2 linked regions of the Struthio camelus genome follow. The protein of the gene in region 2 interacts with the protein of the main gene of each other region in a pairwise test. Links are inferred from orthologs where the notes say so. Each region holds a gene or a part of one and is shown on either strand. Other genes may lie near its edges. The genes, in order: RAB4A and GRIPAP1.

Region 1 (14,475 bases), on a different chromosome or scaffold from region 2:
GCAAATACAGAGTACGCAAACTGCACTTTCTCTCATAATGTTGAGCTGACAGCTAACGCACAGCCCCCAAAATAACGGTCACCCAACCAAAACTGTTAAAATAGTTACGACCCCTTAGTTGAGGCAGAGCAACTAACCATGCAAGAGTTCAAATTATCTTTGTTCTTGTATTAGAAAGGACTATAAAGCACTTGTTTTGTTTCAAGCAAACCTGTTTTATTTTGCATTCACATTGTCAGCTATATTATCTGAGATGGCGGTAGGCAGGCAGAGAAGTTACTAAAAGCTGTAGGCTGCTAGCTCCCAGCGGACTGCAAACTTCTATCTGATTATACTTTCCCATTAACTTTGCCTCAAGTTGCAGTCTCAAACTCCCTGCGGCACAGCTGCATAAATTGCAGACGTTTAAGAAAGATGCATATGCAGCTTAGCCCAAGCAGTGTGGGCTCTGACACCCAAGTAAGTTCCTCTGCATCAGGTACACTGATATAATTGTGCTTGTGCAGCAAACGTTGAGGTCATTTATCCTTCTCTCATTGAATTACTCTGCAGTCTTCTCAGGATACAGGCGTCCAGATATAAAGCTATTAGGGAACAACCGACATACAGTAATATATGCATCAGTGCCCTGCATGTGGACACACCTTGTCATAAAAACCCATCCAGCATGAGACAAGTCTGTTACGGATTCATCTCTATGGGGTTTAAACCAGTGCAGCCTTGCATTTAGATCTAGCCCTTATACACCATAAAAATTACATCAGAAGACAAGACTTACAATGTTTGTCCCACGCATGCTGGGTTCATCTTCGTTTTCTAGGCTGGATTTAACTACATTCATTAACTTTGCTAAAGCTTTCAACAGCGGGGCTGCAATACTGTTTGAAAACTTGGTAAAACCAGCCTATGCTCAGACCTATAGTGCAGAACCAATACAGGGTGGAGAAAGAGGGCACAAATCGCACTAACTTTAAGCCTTCAACATTGCTTTTATCAGAACGCAGAACAGGCACTTCGATATATCTCTGTGCAAGAGCAAATCAGGGACACAGCTGGAACTGTAACACACAAAATTTTGATTCCTGCTTTGATCTTCAGCCCATTAGATCATGCTGCTTCTAAAATATCCGTGGATATGATTCAACAAATCCATGAGGGTGGGATTTCTTTTTTTCTATTTAAAAAAGAAGAAACCGAGTTGATTAGCTCTCTGTACTACAACTGTCTACCAAATCAACTTAGTATTAAAAACTACAGCTGCACATGATACCTAAACACCAAAAACTGTTCAGCAAAGTTGTTCCAGCTGCCTAGGCAGCTAAATTTTTTACATTAGATTCAAGGAGAATGCTAATGCTCTTTCTCTAATGACACCCTGAAGTGCCTCAGAGAGCTTGGCACATGGCTTAACCCTGAACAGGATCCAGAAAGCAGCATTCTCCTGCCTACTTCCATGGACGGGTTTGGTCAATAAGCATACTCTAAAAAAGATTTACTGATTAACATGAAACACAGAAAAGTCTATTTTAAAATTACAGAGTGGCGCTGCTGCAGACTTACATTTTTTAGCCCAAAATGAAGAGGCCAAAGTACACACAAGTTACAAAAACACAGGTTCTATTATCTCCTTTGTTCAAGGGGGTTCAAGCTCATAAGACTGGCTTTATTGTATCAGATCAAGGGTCCATCTTCTGCAAAACTGATCAGCTGCGCTGGGCTGCAGTTCCTCCTCCAAAATTTCTTGAGACTCTTGCTGCTTTCCACCTGGCTTGCATTTTTATTCAGTCTTCTGAAGCACCACTGAGTTGCAGAACTTTTTTGTCAGCCTTCATCTGGCCCGGACCTAGCCAACCATCCAGAGCACCAAGAGGAAGAAGCTTTGTAGGACAGATCCCAGCAACTGTGGGGCCTGTTTTTGTTCCTTTGACTTTTCACAGTTCTAAGCAAGACCACTGGGTAAAAGCCACTATCATCTTGGATACAGGGAGCTGCAGGCAATGACTGGTGTTCTTCTTGAAAGTCCCTCTGCTCAGTTTTGACTCTCTGACTCTTACCCTATTACAGTCACTGTCCCCCAAATACACTTTCTTCCCCTTGGTTTGTTTGCTACCTCTGTGCTTCAGGGAGGCTATGAGAATTGATATGTAGCTCACCCAGAGGGGAGCTTGTCCTTAATGGGAACCCAACAGGAACAGTGCCCATAAGTAAATGCTTCGTGAATGATACAGGAATAGGTGAGTATGTCATGATATTGTCCCTATTTCCCTCTCAGTCCTTAAATACAGTCAACTCAGGAGACCTCCTGAGCCTAAGGCAGGGTCTATTTAGCGGCCTTCAATGATTTTTCTTTTCTTCCATGAAATCACCCAGCCTGCTGGATTTTTAACATACACATCTTTCAGCACCAAGTTCCATATACTTACTGTTAGTTGCCTAAAGAACCATCTCCTGTTGTTTTAAACCTAGCTACTAGCTTCATATGATGCTCCTTACTTCCACGAGAAAGAAAAGAGTGAATAGTAAGTTCCCACCCATTCTCTACACGCATCCCAGGATTTTGTATATTTCTATTACACCACTCATCAGCAGGCTTTTGTCCAGATGGAAGAAATCCAACTCAATTAGTTTAACTATGCTAGTAGCAAATTTTCCAGATCCCAGGAAATTCAGTGCTTATCTAAGTCCAGATATCATAAAGAGACAGATGTAAAGCACCCAGTCAAGAGGTAGGATGCAAGATTCAGTTCTTACCTTCCCCTTCACCCAGATCTGGAAAGGAAAGGAAACAAAAACAAACACCTTCCCCCCCCCCCCCCCCCCCCCCACAGAACTGGAAAAGCTTCAGAAAAGGGCAAAAAAGATGATCACTGATATGGAACAGCTTCGAGAGAGGGAATGACTAAACAAGTTATTTAGTCTGGGGTGGGGGCGGGGGAGGGAAATATATGGAATACCATTTAGATCTATGAAATCCTGAATGGCACAAAGTGGGAAGACAGAGATAAATCTCACACTCTTGTTCCATTAGAAGATCTAAGAGTCATCAAATACAACTCAAAAAACAAGAGGAGATAGCTCTTCACTGAATGGGTAGTTTATGTGGGTAGCTCCCTGCCAACAGATGCAGTGACTGCAAGAAGTTTATTTGAGTTCAAGGAAAGATTAGACAAATACATGGAAGAAAAAAGCCATAGAGGGTTTTTTTAAACAGACACCATGCCTGACTCAAAGCTACTAAGGTGAAAATAGCTGGAGGCTGAAGAATATTAGAGAAAGCATCAAATATACTTTTCCTGTTCTTATGGTCTTTCCAAAGCACCAACAGGACATTGTAAAATTGCATACTGGTTACTGCCTTGGTTGCAGATAGTACAGCTATTGTTAAATTCTACGTCATCTCATAGCTTACATTTTTTGTTCTTCCATTTATCCTAAATCATGCCATTATCTTCAGTTTTCCAGCTCGGAATTCCTGTAGCTTGATGTATATAAACAGAACAATCACTGACATTCAAAAGAGAAATATACCGAAAACCCCACCACCTCTTTAGAACACCACAATAACCCAAACTCTTCAATTTCAAGGGTGTGTTTTTAGGACATCAAAACAATCAGAGAGTATCAGCAATGCTAGTGGGTTTAAAACTATTTTGACTCACTGGAACAATGCAAAAAGTGCTGAAATGTACTTGTTTAAGATGCAATTATTTATCTTGATGCTGTAATAGCAAGCAGGTTAAGAAGGAATACTGCTGGAATTATCTCTATCATCGCTGGTTGTCTACCCATCCATCTGCTTAAAGACTACAAATCCCACCATAAACATAGCCAAAGCGATCTCGATCCTTAACTGCAACAGCTCAGAGCATGAAGAATTAGCTCAAACTCACATCTAAATCAACAAAGCACATCTCTTTGGCCTGATTTCTACGCATGCGTTTTGCTTGTTTGGAGAAAACACCAAAAGAAGAAACAGGGTCTTGCTATCCTAACATTTGCACTTAAAGGGCTGCCCCGCACTTTTGCCTCATTTTCCCCAGTAGTTCTGTGCTTTTTCCCGTATACTGAAACACTCATCATAGTGGGACAAAGTACCCTAAGCACTCCTGACCAGGCTACTGAAAATATACAGAGACTTATACAACAGTAACAATAAGATCAGCTAGCCTACTAATAAGAACTGACAGTGATGCCAGTCTCCCTCAGATCAACAAGCTTTAGCAGTGAGTCGACTTGCCGCATCTAATTTCACTATAATTATCCAAACTATATATTATTTATCAGGATTCTGCTCTAAAGACAGAGAGACACAAGTGCAGATCCCAAGCTCAACCAATTACTGAGGATAACAGTCTGCAACAGACAAAGCCAGAAAACGAGAAATTAAAGGGCTCATCACAGTATATCCAATTCCAATCTCATCCTCCAGCAATCCAACACAGGGACTCTAAAAATAATATTTAGAGGTATGACAGGATTTTTATACAGTAAATAAAAGCATTACAGGATACAGAACTATGTTATGGAAAGAGAAAAAACATACGAGGTTGATTCAAGAACTCAAAGTTACAAACACGAGAAATGAATATTATCCAGTCACTTCCCATATGCTCCACCCAGCCAGCAGTATCAGCTCTACCTACCTATTGGACTCCACACATTGATGTGCCTTTAATGCACTGACTCACCCCACCAGAGCTTGCACTCTTACGACTTACGCCTTCAGATGTTTTTCTGCTATAATGCTCATAGGAAACACCACATAGTAGTCAGATGTCCATGCTAATACAGAGATGAACAAACTTTTTAGTTCTTTTTTTACTTACTCACCCTCACAGTTTCTTCTTTTTAATGTTTGTGTATCTAGGAAAATAAGACTACAATCCTAATTTGACCCTCAAAAGAACACTGTCCCCAATTTTACAATAAAAGCAGCTTCGTCCTAGAGGGCATGCACTGCAATTTTCCTTCTGAATTAACTTAAAGATAACAAAGAAGTAGTGCCTAAATTTTCTGGCTAGTATTTTACTTACCTTTTGAGTCATCAATACTTCTCAACATTGAAAAATAATTTTGAATAGGCACTATCACATCAGTGTGAGCTGGACAACAGAGGGAGGAGTAATAGGCTGTAGTGAACATTGCTAATAAAGAGTAGGAAAAAAAGAAAAACAAACAAACCAGAAGGCAAGAAGCCTGTCTGAAGCATAAGGCCAAACAGCTACCATAGCCTAGAACTTCAAAACTCATGCCACACTGGATCAGTCCCTGATCTACCACCTCTTCTCTGCTTTCTTCAGCAAGGGCCATAGCTTCCTACTCCAGATGGTGATTAACTCGGCACAGTCAACAGCACAACGCCAGAGGCGGGGGACACTTTGCTACAACCTTTACCACACTGACACTTCGTTCACCCGCTAGGGCTCGGGAATAAACACCGCGGTTCAGAGCCGGCCCCGGCTCAAAGCCTCGGCGGAGGCGAGCCTCGCTCCCTAGCCAGCGCCCGCGCGCTGGGCTGGGCCGGCCCGGCCCCGGCCCCCGCTGGGGAAGAGCCGCACCGCCGGGCCGGGGGTCTCCCGCTCACAGCGACCCCTCCCCGGGGGCGCAAGCGCCTGCCCCGCCCGGGCCCCGGCTCCTACCGTAGGTCTCGGACATGGCCGTCTGCGACATTTTGGGAGCTGCGAGTCTCCCCTCCCCGGCAGAGGCTTGCGGCCCCTCAGAACCGAGGGGGCAGGCCGGGGGGGAGACGGACAGGTCCACGCAACAGCAGCAACCACCGCCGCCACCACCAACTGCGCCGCTTCAGCCCAGCCGCCAACGGCAGCAACGGCCACCACCGCGCATGCGCGTCCGAGCCGCCTCGGCCTCCGCCCCTCGCGGCGGCGGCCGAGGTGTGGGGCGGGGGGGGGGGGAAGAGCGCCGCCTCGCTGCGCAGGCGCGCCGGGCTCATGCCCCGCAGCCCCGCCTCCCCGCCGTTCCCCTTCCAACGGCCGTCACCAAAACAAGGCGCACGTGCGGGGCTGCGGCGCCGCGCAGCCGTTGGGGGGCGGGGCGCGAGGGCGGCCCACGTGACTGGCTGCTCTACCCCGGTGGTGGCCGCCATGTCGCACGAGTGTGGGCTCGTCTCTGTCTGCTCCCTGGGAGCTCTTCGTCCTAGCCCTGCTCTCTGTTTTCCCCAGTCTCAGAGGGCTGTTCTGGTACTCCATCTGGGGCTGCATCAGGAAGCCCTGGGGGCTGCCAGAGCTAACACAAGTCGGGCGTACAACTTGTGGGTGGCAGGCTGGTCGCAGGTTCCCCGAAACGTGCTCCGTTTCCTCCGTGGTCGCAGGGTGTGCGCCCGATAGGCCACAGACATTTAGGAAACACGGCCTCACCGCCGCTCTGCTGTGCGGTAGCCCAGTGCGTAGTAGCTGTAGCTGTCCTGGAAGTCCCGGGTATACGAGACAGCTGTACCCACAAAGTGTGGGCGATGGTGGGGCTAGCTGCAACTCTGCCAAGATAACAGACGCCTCAGTTCTGCATGCGCTGAGGTCATGTTGATTTCTAAGGCTTGAATAATCTTAACGTTTTCCTTGTCCAGAGAAAACTCCATTATTTAAAGATATCCCATTCCATTCTGATGTCTGTGCTGGAAGTTGAACTGATGATTAAAAAATTCCCTTCAGTTCTTTCTGGAAAATAGTAGCCTCTGAGGCCATTCCTCCTGGGAGCTGAGTGCTCCTGTTTGGCGACTTGTCAGACGGCTGTCAGAGGGCATAGTCCCTGAATTCTGGTGTTTTTTGAGCTGCTGGGATCTCAGCCGATTCCAGTTAATTTTCCTGCCAGCAAGTCTGCAAACGCTTTTCCCCAGGTACAGAACCTGCCTGTGATGGTCCTTCCTGAAAACTGTATTCCACTGTCCAACTTTTTGTCCTAAAGCATCTGTTCTAGACTCGTTAAGATCCTTCCCCAAAAAACTTTCCCCCCATTTCAGTCAAGGGCTAAGCCTTTTGCCGTATATCCTTTTGAGGTACGTGGTGATATGTATAAGCTAACAGACAGGGTTTTGTTTTTCGGAGAGCTGACTGCACCAGTGCTTTTCCGACCTCCAAGATAAACCCCAAGAAAATTCAGACTGTTGAAATGAATAAACTTCCTGAGTGCAATAGCACTTGATTTATGTTATTCTTTCTTTGATGTCTTACTAACTCCCAGCCTGGTTTGTCTCCGGTGATCCTGGTTAGTGTGGCAGCTAGAGGCACTAAGACTGATCCTCCACTACGAGAGCCCCTCCAACTCTTCTCTCCCACGACAACGCTTCCCGTGTGTCCCTTCACGCTCTTATTTCTACCACCCCTTTTAAAAATTCCCCTGTTATTTCTGGCCTTTTAATCTTATTGCTCACAACTTGCCATTCTTTCCATTTCTCTATCATCTCCCAAACAGTAGGAAAAACTGCCGCTGCCCTTCCCAGCCGTTTCCTTACTGAGTCTGCTACTGGTCGAAGGTCAGCTTTTAAGTTTCTATCTCTAATCAGTGAAACAATACATGGTGGGCCAACATTAAAAACCTCTCAGAGAATCTGCTGATTATTTTAATGCCATGGATAGACATTGACAAAGAAACTTGTTCCAGCAATTTTCAAAGAGCCAACTGCATAATAAATTCGTAATATTAACAGTAATTAGTTATATACACAGGTTCCCAAAGCTGTCACAGCCAGAAGACACTACATATAGAGGCCCAAAATGTCACATGTGAGCATTTGCCCCAGGGCATCCGTTCTCCAGAGCAATAGAAGAAGCTAGGGGAGCTTTCACAGGAGCTGTATCCCAGTGTCACAGACCAGAGCTTTGAAAGCTATCTCCCCCAAATGATGATACTTTTGAGGGTGAGGTTAGGCCATAAAGAAGTTTGGTCTAATATCACTGAATCCCTGATAGATGTGGGCTATTTTTTCTCTAAAAAAATTAAATTTTAAATTCCAATTTTAAGATTGTTTAGCACAGAAGAAGACAGATTTTACTAGGTTATTAAAAATTTGTTAAGTTGTTTCAAAAAAGGAATGGAAATTTAAACATCTTGTACTGTATAAGCAGTACTTTAGGCTAAAAAAACAAGTTAATCCTGTCTGATCTTTTTTTTTTACTGTGTATCTTGCAAGATGAGTTTGCCTGTATGGAGGTTATATTTGATAGATAAGTCATGATACTAATATCATACTTTTTTGCCTCCAGGCACTCCCAGTTAGTTGATATGTACATGCCAATAATATGTTTTTTAAAAATAATGCTTTCTATGAGAGCTGTTAGTAATAATGAAGAGAAAGAGGGACGCTGGAGAAATTTCTGGTGAAGCAAAGACAGGAAAAAAAAGGAGAGACGGATAGGATTGGCTGTTTCGATATTTCTACTTTAAAGAGGAAACGAGAACCGAGAGAAAATTTCAGAAATAATGAAAAAGATTGCACTAGGTTAGGAACTACATAGCTGAGATCTCTGCAATTTGAGACTACAGGCTACTGTTTGTTAATAAAAACCATTCTTTCTGAGTGATCAAAACAAAATAGATAGAGCTGAGAATGATCATCTTGCGTATGAGGGTGAAGAAGACCAAAAACCAAATGTTTAACTTGTCTTCTGATTTATGCTTTCTATTGGTTACGTCCTCTAGACACTCCTGGCTCCTGTAAAATGAGATATAACATGTCAAACTGTGAAATCTAAATCCTATCGTTTCTTCCCCAAATTAGTTTCACCACAATTATTGTGCCTATAGTTGACTGCGGTTGTAAAATTGCAGCCCAGAAGGTCATGTTGAGGTTTTGCTAAAAATGATGCTGAGCTAATTTTTAACTAAGTTTTACTAGGCAGTGTATCAGAAATATAGTGTCTGATATCTCATGAGTGGAAAAGGGCCATCAAGATCTCCACAGAGGCAGACTCAGGCCAGAATATTTTGTGAAAGCTCTTTCTTCCAAACTAAAATAATTCCAATTTTAGGACTTGGCAAATTTGGACACAGCTTTCAACGACTTAGCATTGCAATTGGCCAGATCTTTCTGTTTTCCTTCACCCTATTATAGACAAACCATATTCAAACTGGATCTGAAGTTCGGTAGTGTTTTGTGTCCACCTGCACTGTGGACTCAGAGCTTCTGGCTGGGGTTGGAGTGCAGTTAAAAGGTGGGAGGGACTATTAGTTAAGGGAGTGATAGGACATATCCTGGGTTAGTCTGAAGGTGGCACTACAAGGCCATATGTGAAAGGCACTACTTTAGGCTGAGGGGGTGCACGTGTGTTTTCTCTAGTAATTCTCTTAGGCTGTGTGGCACATGGACTGCCTGAGAGACTCAGATAAAATGGGGAATAACGTGTTTTGCCTCACCTTCTTGTCTTGTGGGCTGAATGCAGAGAGCAAGCAAGTGTATGTGGAAGCTGTAGGTCTAAGATGGATTTGGAGCAGCAATGAATTTGGCTCCGACAGCCCAAATGAAATATGAAGATAGGTGATTGATGCTCTGAGAAGCCTTAGGGATTCGGGTGACCTGCTTATAGTCAATGCCACTGGAGAGCTGACTTCACCTGAAAACACCTGGCATTATCTGAACTCTGTCATCTTCGGCTCCCACAGAAGCTGCCCTCAGCCTATGAGCATAGTTGTCAATTGATGTAATTGCGGTTGCTCGTGGAAAATTATGGGTTGAGCGCTTCTAAAATCGTGGGCTAGTTCCTCAGTAGTTAGCCATGACTAACTGGAGCTCGTGAAGAAGGTGACTGCAAAGGTAGCTTGGTGCTATCATTGAACTCCTTTGTCTTACCCCGTGGTGAACTTTTCCCAGAATAAATAGGAAGCCTACAAGCTATGCTACGACAGTGACAGCGGTGACTGCTAGAGTGCAGCATGCTGTATGCTGGGTGTATTTTCCCTTTTATCACGCTTGTCACCAGTGGTAGGAAGAAGACACTGGAGTGACTGCAGGAGTGCTGTGTAAGCTAAGGGAACTTAGTATTCATGAAGAGTCACCAGATCCTGGGATAAGCTCCTTTTCGGATAACCTTATGCTAGAATGCAAAAATGCAAATTTGCCCTAATGTGGGGTTGGGTCCTTTTTTTGTCTTCAAAACACTACGTAAAATTTTTAGGTGCTTTGTCCAGGGAAATAGTTTTTAGCACACTTGTATGAGCACAACGGTACAGAGAAGCCCTATTTTAAAAAGAGAAATGCCTAGTATAGAAAAAATATTTAAAAGGAAATCAAAATATAGGGCATAGCTTTCAAAATAACTAGTGATTTAATTTTGCAGGAACACTGTAAATACAGTGAAGGGGCCTAAATGCTTTTTTCTGTATTTCAAGAGAGGCACAGGAAAATGAAGACAAATTTTGGACATATTATAAAATGTATTATACACATACAATGTCTGGAAAACATACAGATTTATGTGAAACTGACCTGTATTTTGTTAATTCAGCCTCATGGTGTCACTGATTAACTGCTCTGCTGGTGAATAATACAGTGATAATGGGATGTAACAGGCTGCATTTGTTCACTTTTAACAATAGGAAAGGGTTGAAGTGTTTGATGTTTTTAACATCACTTACTTGAAATAGAAGATTGGTTAATAGATTGCTCAGGAACACTCGAGGCCACACGGGCTCCCCTCTGGAGCCCACAGCACTTCTCTCTGCTCAGGAGAACTCACATACAATAAAAACGTGGCTCATTTAGATCCTGTTTCTCAAGTGAATATCCTCAAAGATGCAATAGAGCAGTCTTGATTCAGTTCTGCAGTTTTGGTTGCTTTGGCTGTGGCACCAGGAAGCAATCAAAGCTGGCTTTTGGCAGGGGTGTGATTTGCCACTTGTGCGGTTCACCTGGATGGTTCAGAAAGTTGGCACGTCTGTCTGGGTTAGCCGTCTGTGAGCTGCATGCTCAAGGAGGAATTCAGCTTGCCGTGTCGCATGTTACAGATGAACCGAGGTGGATGCATGCTCTCATGCACCCAAGGTCCAACCAGCTGAATCAAGGACCTGTCCAAAACGTACCACAGTGCCTGCACTTTACTGTGGTATGGGTTGCAGGCAGCCATGCGCTTGGACTCTGGCTCATGGAAGTACTCCCGTGTCCCTCATTCAGATGTAGCCTAGACACACGCCAGTTGTCTGGGCACCCTCTGTAATCAGTAGTGAACGAGAGGCAGCTCCAGAGTGCTTCAGCCCAACCGTCTTCATCAGCTGTCTGAGGACAGAATGGATCTCCTTCTGTCCATTGACTACAGAGGGAGCCCAGTTTAGGCTTAGAAAGCTAATTTTTAGATACCTAACATTAGGTATCTAAACATTAGGTGTCTAATGCCGCCCCAGGAGGAACTGGCTTCATCCTTTTCTCCAGTCCCTGCTTGCTCAGATGGAGGAGAGGCACTGTACTTTGTATATCGTATACATTTCACAAACAAAAATCTCTTAGGAACTGATTAGCTGTTAAGGAATCAGATTCTATTTTTTTTTAAACATACAGAAAATTCAGAGCATCAGAGGTCTAAAATGGCTTTTTTTATACACAGTATTTTTGGTATACAGTGCAAAGAATTTGCCTTGCAGTTTGCTGGTGGCTGACTAAGCGATCCATGTGGATCAGGAATGCAAGCTTCCTGGTGCTGCAAAGAGGAGTGCTAGACATTCTCCGCAATTCATGGGCAGGCTCAGCCAGCTAGTAAAGCACATACGTGGACCAATATTGATATGTAGATTTAAAATCTGGTACTTTTTGCTGTTATTTTGCTGTTAGGTTATGAAACTACATATATGGATTTTTGAAAATGAGCGTAAAGTAAAACATGGCTATGGTAATAAATGTGAGACTATAACAATCTGAAGGATCACATCATATTTTATTTTCACCCACAAATACACACATGAACACAGTCCTTTCACTTCATCAGAAATTGTGCAAGAGTGTCTAAAGGAAGAATATCTGATCTTAAGTGTATCACTATCTCTGTAGAAACTAAATCACTTACAGTTTCCAAAATGCAGTTCTGACTCTGATCATATACATGATTTTTCATTGATATGTTTCTGCCTGTTTCACCTTCACTTGTAGATAAACTTGTAGCTAATTTCACCTTGTAGCTATTTTTTCCATAGGATTTCCTGGGGGAAAAAAGAATTTGAAAATACTTACGGTCTACAAAGAAGCTTCCTTTCTTCTTCTTTTTAATTACTGACAAGCAAGAAAGCTCTACGTCATCAAATTGACATGCTGATTGAATGAATGGGCATGGCTTTGAATCCAGCCTAGGTTATTGTTGGCTGAATATTGTTATCGATGGCTTAAATAAAATGTGTTTGATGATCTTATCTAGTTTCCTAGCTGCTGCTGTCAACAAAACCCACACAGAGCTGTTACTACTAGTTGGCTGTTTAGAGGAAAGGTTGAAGGTGAAAGAGACAGATATATTTTGCAGTAGGTGTTATGGCACTTTGGATTTTGACAGAAGACTTCCTCGCTCGTTTCTCTTTTAAAGCCAGCTGAATGTTTTTTTGTTCCTTTTAGCCTTTTAGCTGTGTTGTGCTTACAGTGATGCCTACAGCTGGACGCAGCAGAGGCACAGGCTCTTCACAGTGCCTCCTGCTACCCAAGTCCTCCAGAAGGGCAAATTCCCTCTCTCAGGCGTTAGCGCAGGTACACTGGGCAGCACCGCACTGGCCGAGGCAGCTCGCAGACCTGCCCAATCTCACGCACGAAGCAGGAGTCTCACCCAGCTTGCCCCAGTTCCCCCTGCTCTCCGCTAAGGGCACTTTCTCACAGATTCGCAGGGCAGCACTGGAGCCCTTGTCCCATGCTGGGCACCGCCCTGTCTGCCATTCGCTGCATCTGCTCCTGGGAACATGGTGTGGAGGAGGAATGGGTGCTGTCATCCTCTCCGACGGTAAAACCTAGCTTCAGCGCTGTCGCACGGATCGGGAAAGGTTCAGCCTGAGAGAGCCGAATGCTCCTTCTAGTCAAAAGCCCTTGCTTTAGTCTGATTCTCATGTATTAAGGTGCCTTTCGAACACTCTGGCACTGTGAATATCCTCCAAACAGGTACAAACGAGGGGCCTCCAGGGCAGAACTCGGCTCTTTGCTTTTCTCCAGCTGCGCTCTGGCTGGGACTGGGGGCAGTGCCTCCCTCCCTTCAGCCATGGGCACAAAAATGCAGAGCAGATGCCATTAGGGCATCCCAAAACAGGTACCCTGCCTTAATCTGTTTGAATGCTTGCACACGCGCCATCTGTTTGGATGGCACTGTGCCCAGGCTGGCCAGGTCCTTGTCAGAGGCGCTGGTGCTGTGCCAGGCATGGTGTTTGCTATCTGACCTCTGTAACCCAGCAAGTGACCTCCTAGCGGCAGGGTGGCCTCCTCATGTAGCTAGCACATATGTATTCGAACAATGTTTTTTTACTCTTGACCACACTTGTTGGCCTCGGCTTCAGCAAAGGAGGAACGAGAGCTCCGAGGCTGTTTGCCAGATACACAGGTTGACTTGCGGTAGGCAGCTTGGAAGCTTTTATACCTCTTCTCCTTTTAAGGAATGGGAAGCGTATGCCAGCAAAGCTCTCGGGCTGTTCCATGTAAGGTCATGCCAATGTCAGTCAGTGGCAATAAGAAGAAAATGGGTTTAAAAAAAGGAAAAAATCCTGCTGAGCACAAAGCATAAATTGAGCACTTTCCTTGCAGAGTGGATAAAGCATTGCATGAAAATATTGGATGCTCTTCTGTGTGGAACAAAGGAACAGAAGAGATTTCATGTGGTGGAAAGTGAAGTGGGAAAAAAAAGGAACTGAGCAAAATCCTAGTCAAAGATAAGAATATCAAATGCAATTGTTTCTTTACGGGAACAACGCCGATCATCCTCATTTAAAGGTATGCAAATACATATTTGCAGGCTTTTGTCCATTAAGCCATGAAACGCGTGTTGATTTCAGCATTGTCTAGATGAACAACATCAATTAAAACAACACAATGTAGCAGAAACAGTGTAAGGCAACTTCTGTACTGGGAGAAGGGGCAGGGTAATTTTGTGACACTGCTTAGCTGAAGGGGCGTTGCCCGTACTCTGCAGATCACTGACTGTGCTCAAACTTTTGACTCAGGATTAAGTTTTACTGCAGCTGAGACATGCAATCACTCTCTAAACTCCAGAAATCAGATTTAGGTCTGCATGAAGTCCTTAAATATAAAGCCAGTGTCAACAGCCTCAGATTTAACGGAAATCCTTTAAAAGTATAAATCTAGTGGATTTACTTCCCGAAGCAGTAACAAGAGTTAGTTGTGCTGAACCTGTGATCGATCCAGCGTGCCTAACTCTGTATTTTGTAACACATCGTTTACAGCAGTGTTTAAGCACGTTGTACATCAATGAGATTCACACTGATTAAGACAGGAAAGGACTGTTTTCATGCCTTTGTTTGGGGAGGGGTCGTGCAAGGTTATTTTGGATTGCTTTCTTC
Region 2 (14,805 bases):
CTGGGGGGGTCCTGGGGAGTCGGGGGGCTATGGCAGGGGTCTGGGGGGCCTATGGGGATGCTGGGGGGCTATAGGGGGTCTAGAGGGTCTGGGGGGCCCATAGGGATCCTGGGGTAGGAGGTCGGTTTGGGGTCCCCGCGGGGGGGTCAGGGGTCACTCACGGCCTCCTGGCGGCAGAGGCGTCGCAGCTCCTGCAGCCGCAGCCCCAGGGCCTGGCGCAGCCCCCGCTGCCGCTCGCGCAGCTCCTGCAGCCGGGCCGGGCCCCCCCCCGGCCCCCCCCGGCCCCCGCCGCCTGCCGGCCCCCCCGCAGGGTCAGTGGCGTCACCATGGCGACCGCCCGGGCGGGGGGGCAGGGGTCAGGGGCAGCAAGGGGTCAGAGGGCAGCAGGGGGGTGGGGGGCACAGTCAGGGGTCAGGGGACACCATGAGGTCAGAGAACAGAATGACACGGGGGTCGGGTTGGGGGTCAAGGGGCACCGTGTGGGGGTCAGAGGGCAGCAGGGGGGTCAAGGGGCACCACCAGGGGTCAGAGGGCACTGGGGGGTCAGGGGGCACTGCAGGTTGAGGGCAGTGCCGGGGGGGTCAGGGGGCACCACGAGGTCAGAGGGCAGCAGGGGTGTGAGGGGCACCCCCAGGGGTCAGGGGGCACCACCAGAGGTCAGGGGGCACCGCCACTGGGGGTCAAGAGGGCACAGAGGGGTCAGGGGGAACCGCCAGGGGTCAAGGGGCAACCGCAGGATCAGGGGGCGCCACAGGGTCAGAGGGCAGCGGGGGTGTGGGGGGCACCACCAGAGGTCAGGGGGTTTCCCTGGAGGTCAAGAGGGCACAGTGGGGTCAAGGGGCAACTGCAGGGTCAGAGGGCGCCATGGGGGCAGGAGGGGGGACGCTGGGGGAGGGTTGGGGGCACGGCGGGGTCGGGGGGTTCCTACCTGTGGGGCTGTAGGCGCCGGTGGGGAGGACGTGGCCCCTCACCTCCATGCTGGCGGGTGCCGCAGGCCGGCACCCATGAGCCCCGCGCCGCGCTGCGCCCACTGCGTCACCGGGGGCCCAGGTGTCCGGGGAGGGGCCCAGGTGTCCAGAGAGGGGACCCAGGTGTCCGGGGGGCCCGGGAGACCAGGGAGACCCAGGAGACCAGGGGGACCCAGGCGGCCGGGGAAGGGACCCAGGCAGCCGGGGAAGGGACCCAGGTGTCCGGGGAAGGGACCCAGGTGTCCGGCTCCCCCCTCGCCTCCGCCCCGGCTCCCAATTTCCGCCTCCCGCTTCCGCCTGCCAGGCCCCTCCCCCGGGGGCCCAGGCGTCCAGGTCACCCCTCCCCCCCCCCGATCTAGGTGTCTGGAAGACCCCTCCCTCTCCCCCTCCCCATAAGGGGCCCAGGCGTCCGGGTGTCAGTTCCCCCCCTCAGGGACTCAGGCATCCAGGTGCCCCCCGCAAGGGGCCCAAGTGTCCGGGTGTCCCCCCCCCAAAGGGACCCAGGCATCCAGCCCCCCCCATCCATGGGGCAGTGGGGGGGAGTCCTTCCCACAATGCCCTGGGACCCCCCAATATCCCATCATGCCCTGGGCCCCTGCCCCCCCCATCCCTTACCTCAACCCGGGGGGGCTCCGGCCGAGGGGAGGGAGTGCGGCAGCGCACACACGTGTCCAGGAGTCGCACACGCGTGTCTGGGGGGGGTCACACACGCGTGTGGTGGTGGTGCCTGCAGGTCCGGGGGAGGTCAGGGGGCCGGTGCCCCCCCCCGGCCGGTCCCGGGGGGGGGAGGGTGCATGGCCCGGGGCGTGCGACACGCGTGTGCGGGCGGCGGCCGGGCAGGCGGCACGGCGCAGGCGCGCACACGCGTGTGCAGGGCGGTGGCGGGGGGGCACACGCGTGGGGGGGCAGGCGGACGCGGCAGCCTGAGACACCAGGACGGTGGGGGGGAACCCAAGCGTCTGGGAGAGGGGCCCAGGCGTCCGGGTGGGCCCAGGCGTCCGGGGGAAGGGGCCCAGGCGTCTGGCCTCCCCCCACTCAGGGTCCCCCCTGTTGTCCCCCCCCCGTGATGTCACTTCCTGCCCAGCTCCCCCCCCCCCCGCCACTTCCTGCCGCTGGCCTGCTCGGGCCCAGCCCTGGAGGCTCCTGCCCCACGGCAGCTCCCGAGACCCCCTCCGGCCCCATAGCAGCCCCCCAGGGACCCCCGCAGCCCCATAGTGGCCTCCCGGGACCCCTCAGCCCCATAGCAGCCTCCTCCTGCCCCATGGTGGCCCCAGCCCCATAGCAGCCCCCTGGGCCTCCCCACGGCGGTCTCGCTCTCCAGGCTCCCCCCAGCCCCATCGCTGGCCCTGTAGAGGCTGCCCCGGCCCCGCAGCAGCCCTGCCAGCCCCGTAGCCGCCATGCTGGCCCCATAGCAGCCCCCCGCCGCTCCTGTCAGCCCCGCAGCTGCCCGTTGGGCGCGGGGCGGGGGCGATGTCCCGCGGGGCGGCCGAGGGGGCCCCGACGGCGCCCCCCGGCCCCCCAGCGGGGCCGCCCCCCGCCCGCCCCGCTGTCTACCTGCTGCTCGAGGAGCCCAGCGCCCCCGACGGCCTCCGGCTGCTCAGGTGAGCGGGCGGCCGGGGCCCCCGGATCCCCCCGGCACCCCCCCGTCACTGGATCCCCCCAGGTCCCCCTGGATCCCCCCTCCCCATCGCTGGATCCCTCCTGGGACCCCTGACCCCCTCCGGACCCTCCCCTCGGTTACTGGGTCCCTGCAGATCCCCTAGATCCCTCCTGGGATCCCCCCAGCCCCCTTGGGACCCCCTCAGCACCCCCCCAATCACTGGATCCCCCCAGTCCCCCGGCCTCTCCCGTCACTGGATCCCCCCCGGGACCCCCCAGTCACTGAATCCCTTCTGGGACCCCCTGACCCCACCGGGACCCCCTGTCACTGGACCCCTTCAATCCCCCGGGATCCCCTCTCCCCATCACTGGATTCCCCAAGACTCCCCTGTCCCTTGTCACTGGATCCCTCCTGAGACCCCCCCCCCGATCCCCCGAGTACATCTCCCCAGTCGCTGGCTCCCCATGGATCCCCCCAACCCCACCCCACCTGTCAGCAGATCCCCGGGACGCCCCTGTTCACAGGACCCCCCGATCCCCTCCGGGATCCCCTTTTCAGCCACTGGCTCCCCTGGGATCCTTCCACGTCCCTCCGCTCACTGGGCCCTCCGGGTCCCCTCGAGACCTCCTTCCCAGCTACAGGATCCCCCAGGGACCCCTCAAATCCCCCAGCATCCCCCTGAGCTCCCCCCATCACTAGGTCCCCCTGATCCCCTCGGGGATCCCCTGCGACCCCCTTGGGACCCTTTCCTGAGTCACTATATCCCCTGGGACCCCTCCAGCCCCTCTGGGACCGCCCCCAGTCGCAGGATCCCTGGGATCCCCAGCAGTGCTGCAGGGCGGGGGGTTCGGGGGGATCCAGTGATGGGAGAGGTTCAGCAGGATTTGGGGGGGGATCCCTGGGGATCTGAGGGGGGCTGAAGGATGGGGAGGGGCTCAGGGTATCAGGGAACAGAAGGGATAGGGGGATCCAGAGAAGATCTGGGGGGATTGAGTGGCAGGGGAAGGCTTTGGGGGGATCAGGAGGGATCTGGGAGGATCTGGGGTGATTGGGGGGATCCAGAGGGATAAGTGGGGATTGGGGGACCCAGAAGGGATCTGGGGGGACCTAGGGGGTGATTTGGGGGGACTAGGAGGGATCCAGGGGGATCCAGGAGGTATCAGGGAAATCCAAACGGATGTGAGAGGATCCAGGGATTATGGGGGGGGGGGGTCTAGGAGGGAGCAGAGGGATCTGGGAGGGATTGGGGTGGTTGGAGGAGGATCCATGAAGGACCGGGGTGTTTGGGGGGATCTGGGAGGGAGCGGGGAGACCCAGGAGGGACCTGGGAGGGATGGGGGAGCGATGAAGGATCATGGAGGGATTGGGGGGGATCTACGAGGGATCCGGGGGGCACCAGGGGGGCGGCGGCGGCGCTGAGGCGTGCCCCACAGCGTGAGCTCGCCGCTGCCGGAGTCGGGGATCGTGGCCGACATCGAGTGGGAGCGCGGCCCCCCCGGGCCCCCCGGCTCCCCCCCAGCCCTGCCCGGCCCCGCCCCTGGACCTGGACCAGGCCCTGCCCCCGGACCAGGCCCCACCCCTGCTGCCTTCTGCTGCCTCAAGACCCAGCCCCTCCCACACAGGTAACCCCGCCCCCCACCGCGACGGCCATCTTCCCATGCCCCCATGCGCGCTGCCATCTTGCCCCATGTGGTGGCCATCTTTCCACGCCCCCACGCGCGCTGCCATCTTGCCCCATGTGGTGGCCATCTTGCCCACACCCCCACATGTGAGACAGCCATTTTACTCACGCCCCCCACGGACGCTGTGGCCCTCCTACCTCCTTCCTCGGTGGCCGTGTCTGCTCTCAGGCCCCCCACAGCCATTTCCAGCCCCCAGACCCCCATGGCAGCCATTTCCCCCCCCCCCAGACCGCCATGGCAGCCTCTTCCCTCCCACAGACCCCCAAGGTGGCCATTTTCCCTGCTCTGGCCCCCCATGGTGGCCGTTTTCCCTCCCACCATGGCCATCCTGTCTCGCTTGGCAGCCATCTTGCCACACCCGGCAGCCATCTTGCCACACCCAGCAGCCATCTCCCCCCCCCCCCAGAGGCTCTCTACTAACGGCCTCCCCCAGCCCCGGGCCGTCGGGGCCCCCCAGCGACACACCCGGGCCGGGCCCAGAGGCGGCCATGTCGTCGCGGGTGCTGCTGCGGCAGCAGCTGATGCGGGCGCAGGCGGAGGAGCAGGAGCGGCGGGAGCGCCAGGCCGCCCCGGGGCCGCCAGGGCCCCCCGCGCCCCCCACCCCCTCGCCCGCCATCGCTGTCGGCGCCCCCCTGCCCCGGCCTGCCCCCCACGTGCCCCCCGAGGTCCTCAAGGTCAGCTGGCGCCCTGCGGCATGGTGGGGTGGTGGGGGGCTGGGGCATGCTGGGATAGGGGAGGATGGGAGATGCTGGGGTGGGGAGGACTGGGGCATGCTGGGAAAATGGGAGGGCAGGGGATGCTGGGATAGAGGAGGACTGGGATGGCTCCAGTACATGCTGGGAAATTGGAGGTCTGAGGCATGCTGGGAAATGGAGGAGCCTGGTGCATGCTGGGAAGTGGGGAGGGCAGGGGCATGGGGGGAATTCAGGGCCTCAGGGCCCCCCCAGCCACCTGGATTTGGGGGATTGGGGGTCCTGCCCCACCCCACCCCCCAGATCCGGGGGGTGACGCAGCCCCGCGCAGGTGCAGACCCACCTGGAGAACCCAACGCGCTACCACCTGCGGGCAGCCCAGCGGCAGCAAGTGCGCCAGTACCTGAGCTCGGCCCTGGGGCGGGCGGCCGGCGGCCCCCCCAGCCCGCCGGGGCCCCCCGCCGCCCCCGCCGCCCCCCACAGCCCCCTCGCCCTGCTCCACATCGGCTCCGGCTCCGAGAAGGAGGTGGGTGCCCGCCCCGGCGATCCACACGATTTGAGAGCGCTTTGCACGATTTGGGGGAGTTTCATGCGATTTTAGGGAGGAGTAGTCTGACCCCTATCAGGAGGCTCCGCTGGGTTGTGACACCCCCCCGCCTTTCTGCCTCCTGCCCCAGATCGATGACGTCATCGATGAGATCATCAGCCTGGAGTCGAGCTACAACGATGAGCTGCTGAGCTACGGCCCTACCGAGGGCGGCCTGCAGCTGCCCAGCACGGTGCGTGAGGGGGTGGCGCTGCCCCTTTAAGGCCCGTGGGGGCCTGGTCCAGCCAGAGCCACGCCTCTCCTTGCTGGTTGGGGGGGGGGTGTGGCTGCTCCATATAAGGAAAGGAGACCGAAGACGGCTCAGGGGTTAACCCTGTGTCCATATATGGTGGGGGCATGGCCTGGGGAGGGGCAGGGGCGTGGTCTGAGTGGAGGCATGGCCTCAGCCCCATTCCAGCCCCCCCACGGGCCTGTCGGGGGGGGGGGCTAGGGGTGGGTGTGGCCTTGAGGGCAGGGCCCGACTGACCCCACCCCCTCACCCCTCAGCTCCCCGCCCCCGGGCCCCTCCTGGAGGTGTTCAGCCCCCCGGCAGGGGGCAGCAGCTCCTGTCCTGCCGAGCTGCCCCGTGTCAAGGCCGAGCTCTCTGGTAGGGAGGGGCTCCTGTGGGGCAGGATGGGGGCTAGGAGGGTCCCTGGGGGTCGCTATGGGGGAGGACAGGGGCTGGGGAAGGCCCCTATGGGATAGGGTGCCATCTAGGGGGGGGTCCCTTTGGGGCAGGATGATGTCTAGAGGTTTTCTATGGGGCAAGATGGGGTCTGAGGGTGTTCCTATGGGGCAGGATGAGGGCTGTGGGGGTTCTTGGGGGGCCCTATGGGGCAGGATGGGGTCTCTATGGGGCAGGAGGAGTCTAGTGGGGGTCTAGGGGGTGTTGCTCAGGGATAGGAGGGGTCTGGAGGAGGTTCTTCTGGGGCAGAGGTGGGTCTAAGAGGACTCCTATGGGGCAGGAAGGCAGCTGGGGGGGTCCTTGGGGGTCTGGGGGTTCTCTGTGGTGCAGGAGAAATCTAGGTGGGTCATTGGGGTCTTGAGGGGTGCCTATGGGGTAGGAGGGGCTCTGGGGTCCCTGGGGGAGTCCCCGTGGGGCAGGTCTGGCTGTGGAGGGCTGATGACGGTTTCTGCCCCCCAGAGACGGAGGCAAAGGCGCTGCTAAAGGAGCGACAGAAGAAGGACAACCACAACCTGAGTGAGAGCTGTGGGGCAGACTGTGGGGCTGGGGGTGTGTGGGGCAGAGCCATGGGGCTGGGGGGGAACATGGAGTGGGGCCATGGGGCTGGGTGGAGGCTTGGGGAGGAACCGTGGGGCTGGGGTGAGCTGGGGGGCAGATTTATGGGCTGGGGGATGTTTGGGGCATAGTCACGGGGCTAGGGGGGGCTATGTGGCAGGAGCCATGGGGCAGGGCTCGCCGTGGGTCGGGGCTCACTGTGGGGCTGACGTTTCCTTCCTCCCTCCCCAGTCGAGCGACGCCGCCGTTTCAACATCAACGACCGGATCAAGGAGCTGGGGACCCTCATCCCCAAATCCAACGACCCGTGAGTGCGGGGCCCAGGCATCCAGGCGGGACAATAGAGAGAGCCCAGGTGTCTGGGTGGGCACCTGAGGGACCCAGGCATCCGGGTGGGACACCAGAGGGACCAAGGTGTCTAGACGGGCACCGGAGGGACCCAGGCGTCCGGGTGCCCCCACAGGGAGATGCGCTGGAACAAGGGCACCATCCTCAAGGCCTCGGTCGACTACATCCGCAAGTTGCAGAAGGAGACGCAGCGCTCACGTGAGCTCGAGCTGCACCAGCAGCGCCTCGAGCAGGCCAACCGCAGCCTCCAGCTTCGCGTCCAGGTCTGGGGGGCCCTGGGGAGGCACCTGGGGGAGGCTCTGGGGCTGGGGAACACCTGGAGAGGGGTCTATGGGGCTGGAGGGCACCTGGGTGGGGTTATGGGGCATTTAAGTAGCTGCTATGAGGCTGGAGAAGCACCTGGGAGGGGTCTATGGGGCACTTAGGAGGTGTGCAGGGCATCTGAGAGGGGTCATGGGGCTGGAGCACACCTGAGAGAGGGCTATGGGGCATTTGGGGGTGTCTAGGGGGCTGGAGGGTCATCTGGGAGGGGTCTGTGGGGCACCTGGGGGGATCTGTGGGGCTGGGGTCACCTAGGAGGGTCTATGGTGCTGACCTACCTCCTGTGTCCCCCCCCAGGAGCTGGAGCTGCAGGCGCAGATGCACGGGCTCCCCCTGAGCCCCCCGGCGCCGGTGGCTGAGGGGGGCCGTGAGGAGGCCCCTGGGGGCCCCCCCTTTGCCCCGGCCGCCCCCCAGTGCCTGCTGGACCTGGCCCTGGCCGAGGAGCTGCCGCCGGGGCTGGGGCTGCCCCTGGGCCTGGGGGGGGCAGGAGGGGGCCTCGACGACATCCTCATGGACGACCCCGGCGAGCTCTCGCCCCTCGGGCCCCCCGGCGCCCTCCTGGCCTCCCCTGGGCCCTCCCGCGCTTCCAGCCCCCACAGCAGCCTCAGCATGGAGGACGAGGCCTGAGCCCAGTGCCGGGCAGGGCCCTTCGAGGGGGGTCCCCACCCGTTGCTTTTAAGGTGTCCCATGGCCCCTTTAAAAGCCGGCCCCGCCCCAGAGTGAAGCCCCGCCCACTCTCTCCGGGCACGCCCTGCCCCGCCCCTCAGGGAAGCCCTGGTCCCACTCCTCCAGGGAGGCCCCACCCACAAGCCCACAAACAGAAAGAAGCCCTGCCCACGAGGAGGCCCTGCCCCGGCTGGCCCCGCCCCCGCCGCCCCCCTCCAATGAGTGGGCTCCTGGGGGCTGGGCCCTCAGGCATGATGCCCCGCCCCTGCCCATCACCCAGCTAGCCCCCGCCCCTTAGAGGACTGGCCCTGCCCATTTATGGTGCCATCTGGCTGCATCACCCCACCCCCCCGTGTAGCCACGCCCCAGTGCTTGGCCACGCCCACCCGCCTCGTGTAGCCTCGCCCCCAGTTAAAGGGGCCGCGCCGCTCCCCTCCAGGGGGGGTGGGACTGGATCCAACCCCCCCAGCGCCCTGACCTCCCCTCCCCCCGGCCCCGATTTTGTACAAAAAAACGGAGAAAACTGTCGCTTGGGAGCGCCATGAAATTAAACATTTGGTAACGAGGCCCCGCCTCTGCCTCTAGCGAGGGGGGAGGGGAATGAGCGGCCTCGGGGCCCCCCTCCACCGGGGGCCTTATAGGCCTGGGGGGACCCTATGAGCCCTATAGGACTAGGGAGGTCTTCTTGGCTCCTGCAGCACCAGGGGGAACCCTATAGGCCCTATAGGTTTGGGGAGGGGGGTTTGCTCTGGGCCCTATAGCACTGGAAGAGTCTCTGCTAGACCTGCAGGACTGCAAGGATCCCTATAGGGCCTATAGCACCAGGGAGGCCTCTATGGGCCCTATAGATTGGGGAGGTCACTATGGGCTCTACAGTATCAGGAGAGACTCTATGGGTCTATAGCACCAGGGGGAACCCTATGGGCCCTATAGCACCGGGGGGGGGGGGCCCTCTGTGGGTCTTCTAGCACCATGGGGGACTCTACGGGCCCTATAGGTCTAGGAGAATCCCTATGGACTCTATAGCAATGGCTAGACCCTATAGGTGCAGGGGAGATCCCTATGGGCCCTATAGCACCAGGGAGGTCCCTTTGGGCCCTGTAGCATCAGGGGGTCCCTATTGGAGCCTTTAGCACAGGCAGCCATCTCTATGGTTCACTAGCGCCCCGGGGCCTTTCTCTCCGGCCGGGTGGACTCCATCTCCTTGGCCGCAACTTCCGGGCGGGGGCCGAGTGCGTTTCTTCTCACCGCCCCCTCCGCTCCTCTATGCTCCCGCCGCGCCAGAGCGTCCGCTTCCGGGCCGCCGCTCCCTCCGCCGGGCCGCCAGCGCGCCGGGCCGCAGCCCCGCTGCCCCCGGCTGTGTCTCTATGACCCGCCCTTAACGGCGCCCCCCCCAATCACCGGGCCGGTTTTCGCCCCTCCGACAGGGCCGGCGGTGCCAAGATGGCGCAGGCCCTGTCGGAGGAGGAGTTCCAGCGCATGCAGGTGGGCGTGGGGGGGCCCGGACGCCTGGGTCCCCTGGCGGGAGGGGGGCCCGGATGCCTGGGCTCCCTCCGCTGACCCCCCCCCCGCCCCCCCCCCCCCCCCCCAGGGGCAGTTGCTGGAGCTGCGGGCGGAGAATTACCGGCTCTCGGACGAGCTGCGCAAGAACAGCGCCGGTGGGCCCGGCCGCCGGGACCCCGGGGGGGAGGGGGGACGCCTGGGCCCCTTTTGGTGGGGTGGGAGGGGATGCTCAGACTTCTGGGCCCCCTAGAAAGGGGGCAGGGGGCATACTCGGACGCCTGGGTTGCTTTTGGAGGGGGTGGGAGGGGATGCTCGGATGCCTGGGTGTCTTTTGGGGAGGCAGAAAGGGATGCCTGGGTCCCCTGGGAAGGGGGATACTGGGATGCCTGGGCCTCTTTTGGGGGGGGTTGGGAAGGGGTGCCCGGATGCCTGGGCCCCTGACCCCCCGCCCCCCCAGAGCTGACGGGGCTGCGGCAGCGGGTGCAGGCGCTCGACAAGGACCTGGCCAAGGCCCACAAGGTGAGGCCCCTTCCTCTGTGACCTCTGACTCTGACCCTATCTGACCTCTGACCCTGGCTGACCCCTGACCCTTGTGTCTCACAGGCCCTCAGTAAGAGCAAGAAGGCCCAGGTAGGGTTGGGGGTGGGGCCAGGGCCCGAGGATGCTGGGGAGGGGGTCTCTGTGGGTGTGAGGGTGCTAGGAGGGGTCCCTGGAATCCTGGGGTGCTAGGGGGATCCCCCTGGGTGTTGGGAGGGTCCCTGTGGGGTTTGGGGGGTCCTTGGGGTTCCCATGGGTGCTGAGGGGGTCCTATGGGGTGCTAGGGGGAGTCCTGTGTGTGCTGGGGGGGTCCCTGTGGGGTTTGGGGGGGTCCTATGGGGTGCTAGGGGGAGCCCTGTGGGGTTTGGGTGGTCCTTGGGGTCCCCATGGGTGCTGAGGGGGTCCTATGGGGTGCTAAGGGGAGCCCTGTGTGTGCTGGGGGGGGTCCCTGTGAGGTTTGGGGGGTACTTGGGGTCCCTATGGGTGCTGAGGGGGGCCCTGGGAGGGTCTCGGAGGCCATGAGCACTGGGAGGGTCCGGGGGCTCCCTGCGGGTGCTAGCGGGTCCCCGCAGGCGCCAGGCAGATCTGGGGTCTCCGGGGTGTCAGTGGGTGCCGGGGGGATGTAGGGGGGCTCTGGCGGGGGCACCCACGGGCTGGGGGGCCGGCAGGAGGTGGAGGCGCTGCTGGGCGAGACGCGGATGCTGCAGGGCAAGTTGCAGAGCCAGGAGGATGACTTCCGCCTGCAGAACAGCACCCTGCTGCGTGAGCTGGCCAAGGTGCCCCCCAGCGCGGCCCCCAGCATCCCCACGGGGGCCCTGATGCCACCCCAGGGTGCCCCACCACACGGGTTCGGCAAGGGTGGGTGGCCCTTTGGGTGCCATCCATGTTGTTCTGTGGCTCCCCAATGCCACCCCAGGGTCCCTAGTGCAACCTGGGGGTCCCAAATCCCCTCTTAGGTGTCTTTGGGGGTCTCCAAGGCCACCCTGTGGTCCCTAGTGCCATCCTGGGGGGATCCCAGTGTTACCTGGGGGTCCCAAATCCCCTCTTAGGGGTCTCTGGGATTCCCCAATGCTTCCTGGGGAGTCTCTGGGGTCCCTAATGCCTCCTGGACGGTCCCTAATGCTATTTGGGGGTCCCTTGCACTCACTTGAGGGTCCCTGAGGGTCCCCAGTGCCACCCTGAGGGTGGCCAAGGCCCACAAGACCTTTTTGTCATTTTGGAGTCCCCAGTACCCACTTGGGGGTCTCTGGGGGACCCTAATGCCCCCTGGGGGAGTCCCTCATGGCAATTGGGGGTCCCCAGCACCTCTTGGGGGGTTCCTGAGGGTCCCCGCTGCCCCCCGGAGGATCTCTGACGCAGGGGCGGTCCGCAGCTCTGCGCCCAGATCGAGGGGCTGGAGGAGGAAAACCGGCGCCTGCGGGATGGGGAGTCCCCAGTGCCCCCTGGCGCCCCCCCGCCACCTGCTGAGGCCCCCCAAGATGGGGCTGGTGGCGATGGTGGGGCCCCCCCAGCGGCACCCAATGGTGAGAGGGTGCTCAGGGGTCCCTGGGGGGGGTCCCTTGGGGTTTGGGAGAACCTGGGGGGATTTGGGGGGTCCAGGAGGGGTTTGGGGTGGTCCCTGGGGGGGGTCCAGGGGGGATTTGGGGATCCTCAGGGGGTCCTGGGGGGTTCTGTGGGGATTTGGGGGGTCCTGGAAGGCTTTAGGGGGTTCCTGGGGGGGTCCAGGAGGGGTTGGGGGTCTCAGGGAGGCCCTGGGGAGGTTGGAGGGTTTGGGGTTCCCAGGGAGGCCTTGGGGGGGTTGGAGTGTCCCTAGGGGGATTTGGAGGGTCCTGGAGGAGTTTAGAGGGGTCCGGGGGGGATTTGGGGTCCCGGGGGGCCCTGGGGGAGTTTGGGGGGGTCCCTGGGCACCAGGGTGCCCCAAAGGCTATAGGTGCCGGCAGGGGGGGCTGTGGGGTGACCCCCAACACCCTGCAGCCCCCCAGGAGCCCCCTGAGGAGCCAGCAGCCGAGGAGGGGGGCCAGGGGGATGCCCCCCCTGCGGAGCCCCCGCTGCCTGCCCTGCAGGTACCTATGGGTCCTATAGGGGATAGAGACTTGCTATGGGGGGGCAATAAGAGGGTATGGAGCAGTTGGGAGGGTCTGGGGGAGGCTGTAGAAAACATAGATGAAGATGCATTAAATAGATGGGAAAATCTGAGGGAATTATAGTAGATAGGAATAATCCACGTAAGAATATGATTGCAGACTATTTAGATTAGTACAGAACCTAGAGAAAAAAACTTAGGTTTAACAAAGCTGCAAAAAAGTACTATGCAATCATATAGGAAATATAAGAAGAATGTGGGAGCATATAGGGAAATCAAGTGAAACACTGGAAGGTTTAGAGCAACATAGGGGATTAGAGTAAAAATATAGTAGCATATACCAGGATTGGATGAAATACGGGGCGATTTAGAGGGATGTTGGAGCACATAGAGTGCTTGGGAAGAATTGGGGTAATACAGAAAAATCAAAGAAGCATATGGGGAGAGAAGTATATGGGGAACATATAGTAAGCTAGGGTGGAAATGGGGAAAATGCAAGAAAATGGAAGAGTTTTAGGAGAATACAGACAATTCAAGATTCTTGTTTTCGTACAAGAAAAACATGGAGCTATTCATGGAAAATCAATTATAATATGGGTGTTTGAAAATAAGTATTGGAAATATAGAGCAAATATAGAATGAATATAGGGGATTTGGGAACAAAAATGAGATGATATGGGGAACTGGGGTGCAAATGGGGTATTTAGGGGCTTTGGAGACACAGGGATAGAGTTTGAGAGAAACGTGGATGATTAAGTGTGTTGGGGGGAAAATAGTATAGGGGATTTGGGGGAATGTAGGGGATTTTGGGGGGATTATAGGAGGTATGGGGAGAATCAATGACATTTGGGAGGGATATGGGAATTTTAGGGAGCGATTAGGGGACTATGAAGGATTGTGGTGGGAAGAAAGGGGAAATGGGGCCATATGGGGGGGTACAAGGGTCTCATGGGGGGGCTCTCACCCCAGGTGGAGGTGGCCCAGCTGCAGGCAGAGGTGGCCAAGGTAAGGGGGGATTTTGAGGGTCCCAGGGGATTTGGGGAGGGTTCAGGGAGTTTGGGGGCGTCCTGGGGGTCTCAAAGGCATTTTGGGGGGTTCCAGGGGAATTTAGGATGGCTGGGGGGGTCCTGAGGGGGTCCCAGAGGGTTTGGAGGGCTCCTGAGGGATCTTGGAGGGATTTTGGGGGGGTCCTAGGGGGATTTGGGAGGTCTGGGGGGTCCTGGGGGGATTTTGAAGGGTCCTAGGGGGATTGGGGGGGGTTCTGGGAGGTCCCAGGGGTTTGGGGGCATCCTGGGAGGGTCTCATATTTGGGGGGGAATTTGGGGGTGTCATGCTCCCCCACCAGCAGCGATTTCTCTCCCCACAGCTCACAGAGAAGCTGAGGAAGAAGCAGGAGAGGTGAGAGCACCTGGATGCCTGGGCCCCTTCCAAGGGGGGGCACCTGGACACCAGGATCCTTTCGGAAACGGGGTAAACTTTTTTTTTTTTTTTTGTCTCTTTCAGTTTCCTGCAGTTGCAGGCTGAGAAGGACGCCCTGTACAACGACAGTAGGTGGGCGGCCCCGGACGCCTGGGTCCCTGGAGGGGTGGGGGGGTGGGGGCGAGGGCAGGTGCCCAGATGCCTGGGCCCCCCGCCGGACGCCTGGGTCCCTGTGGTGGCAGGACAGAGGCGGAGGAGCTGCAGGCCCGGCAGGACGAGGAGCTGCAGGAGCTGCGGGGCCAGAACCAGCGGCTGCGGCAGGAGCTTGAGGCCGTGGCCCAGGTGGGGCTGGGGGGCACATGGAGGGCACCCCATGGTGTTGGAGGGGTCCTGGGGGCACCCTGGGGTGGCTGGGGAGTCCTAGGGGGCACTCTATGGCATTGGGGGGGTTCTGGGGCATTCTGGGGTGTCTGGGGGGCACCCCATGGTGCTGAGGGGGCCTGGGGGCACCCTGGGGTGGCTGGGGGGTCCTGGGGGCACCCTATGGCATTGGGGGGCTCTTAGGGGATGCCCTGTGGTGGCTTGGGGGCACTGCATGGTGCTGGGAGGGGGTCCTGGGGGGTACCCTGGGGTGGTTGGGGGCACCCTACGGTGTCTGTGGGGCACCCCACAGCATTGAGGGGGCCCCGGGGGCGGGTTGTGGGGCCCCGGTGTCCGGGTGGTGACGCAGCCCTGGCACAGGAGGCCTCGCGTGGTGCCGAGCGGGCGGAGGCAGCAGCGGCGGAGACAGAGGCGCTGCGTGCCAGCACCACCGCCCTCGAGCAGGTGCGACCCCTCTATGCCCCACCGGCCCCTATAGAGCCCTGCAGACGCAATCCTAGCACCCCCATACAGTGCTGTACAGCCCTGCCTGAGCGGACTGGGCTATGACGTCCTTTACAGCTGCATGATGCATCAGGTGGCCTGGTATAGCTCTATACATTCATATACAGCTCTATATGGGCTAGGTCAGGTTTATGATGCACCAGGCAGCCCTGTATGGCCTCATGCGTCCCTAAACAGCCCTGTGATGCCCTGGGGGGACTGGTATGGCCCCATACAGCACTGTGATATATTGGGTAGCTATACCACTCCGTATAGCACTCTGTGATGTTGGGCAG

The links.
Region 1: the proteins of GRIPAP1 (region 2) and RAB4A interact in binary tests that used the Homo sapiens proteins (3 or more experiments, as listed by UniProt). The link is inferred for Struthio camelus from reciprocal best matches to the Homo sapiens genes GRIPAP1 and RAB4A.

Annotation. Positions count from the first base shown.
Region 1 is NC_090944.1:91,380,913-91,395,387, reverse strand, and holds the start of RAB4A (ras-related protein Rab-4A), read right to left. Parts: upstream 5,886-14,475; 5' UTR 5,671-5,885; coding exon 5,640-5,670; intron 1-5,639. UniProt on the Homo sapiens protein: The small GTPases Rab are key regulators of intracellular membrane trafficking, from the formation of transport vesicles to their fusion with membranes.
Region 2 is NC_090979.1:320,178-334,982, forward strand, and holds the start of GRIPAP1 (GRIP1-associated protein 1), read left to right. Parts: upstream 1-9,310; 5' UTR 9,311-9,546; coding exon 9,547-9,588; intron 9,589-9,694; coding exon 9,695-9,761; intron 9,762-10,063; coding exon 10,064-10,125; intron 10,126-10,209; coding exon 10,210-10,236; intron 10,237-10,811; coding exon 10,812-10,919; intron 10,920-11,515; coding exon 11,516-11,666; intron 11,667-12,117; coding exon 12,118-12,206; intron 12,207-13,195; coding exon 13,196-13,231; intron 13,232-13,592; coding exon 13,593-13,624; intron 13,625-13,729; coding exon 13,730-13,777; intron 13,778-13,887; coding exon 13,888-13,987; intron 13,988-14,386; coding exon 14,387-14,470; intron 14,471-14,805. Other genes in the region: CCDC120 (coiled-coil domain-containing protein 120), read right to left, coding at 162-292, 929-977; TFE3 (transcription factor E3), read left to right, coding at 2,439-2,569, 4,002-4,190, 4,657-4,924, 5,274-5,468, 5,620-5,721, 6,036-6,135, 6,673-6,729, 7,000-7,075 and 2 more. UniProt on the Homo sapiens protein: Regulates the endosomal recycling back to the neuronal plasma membrane, possibly by connecting early and late recycling endosomal domains and promoting segregation of recycling endosomes from early endosomal membranes.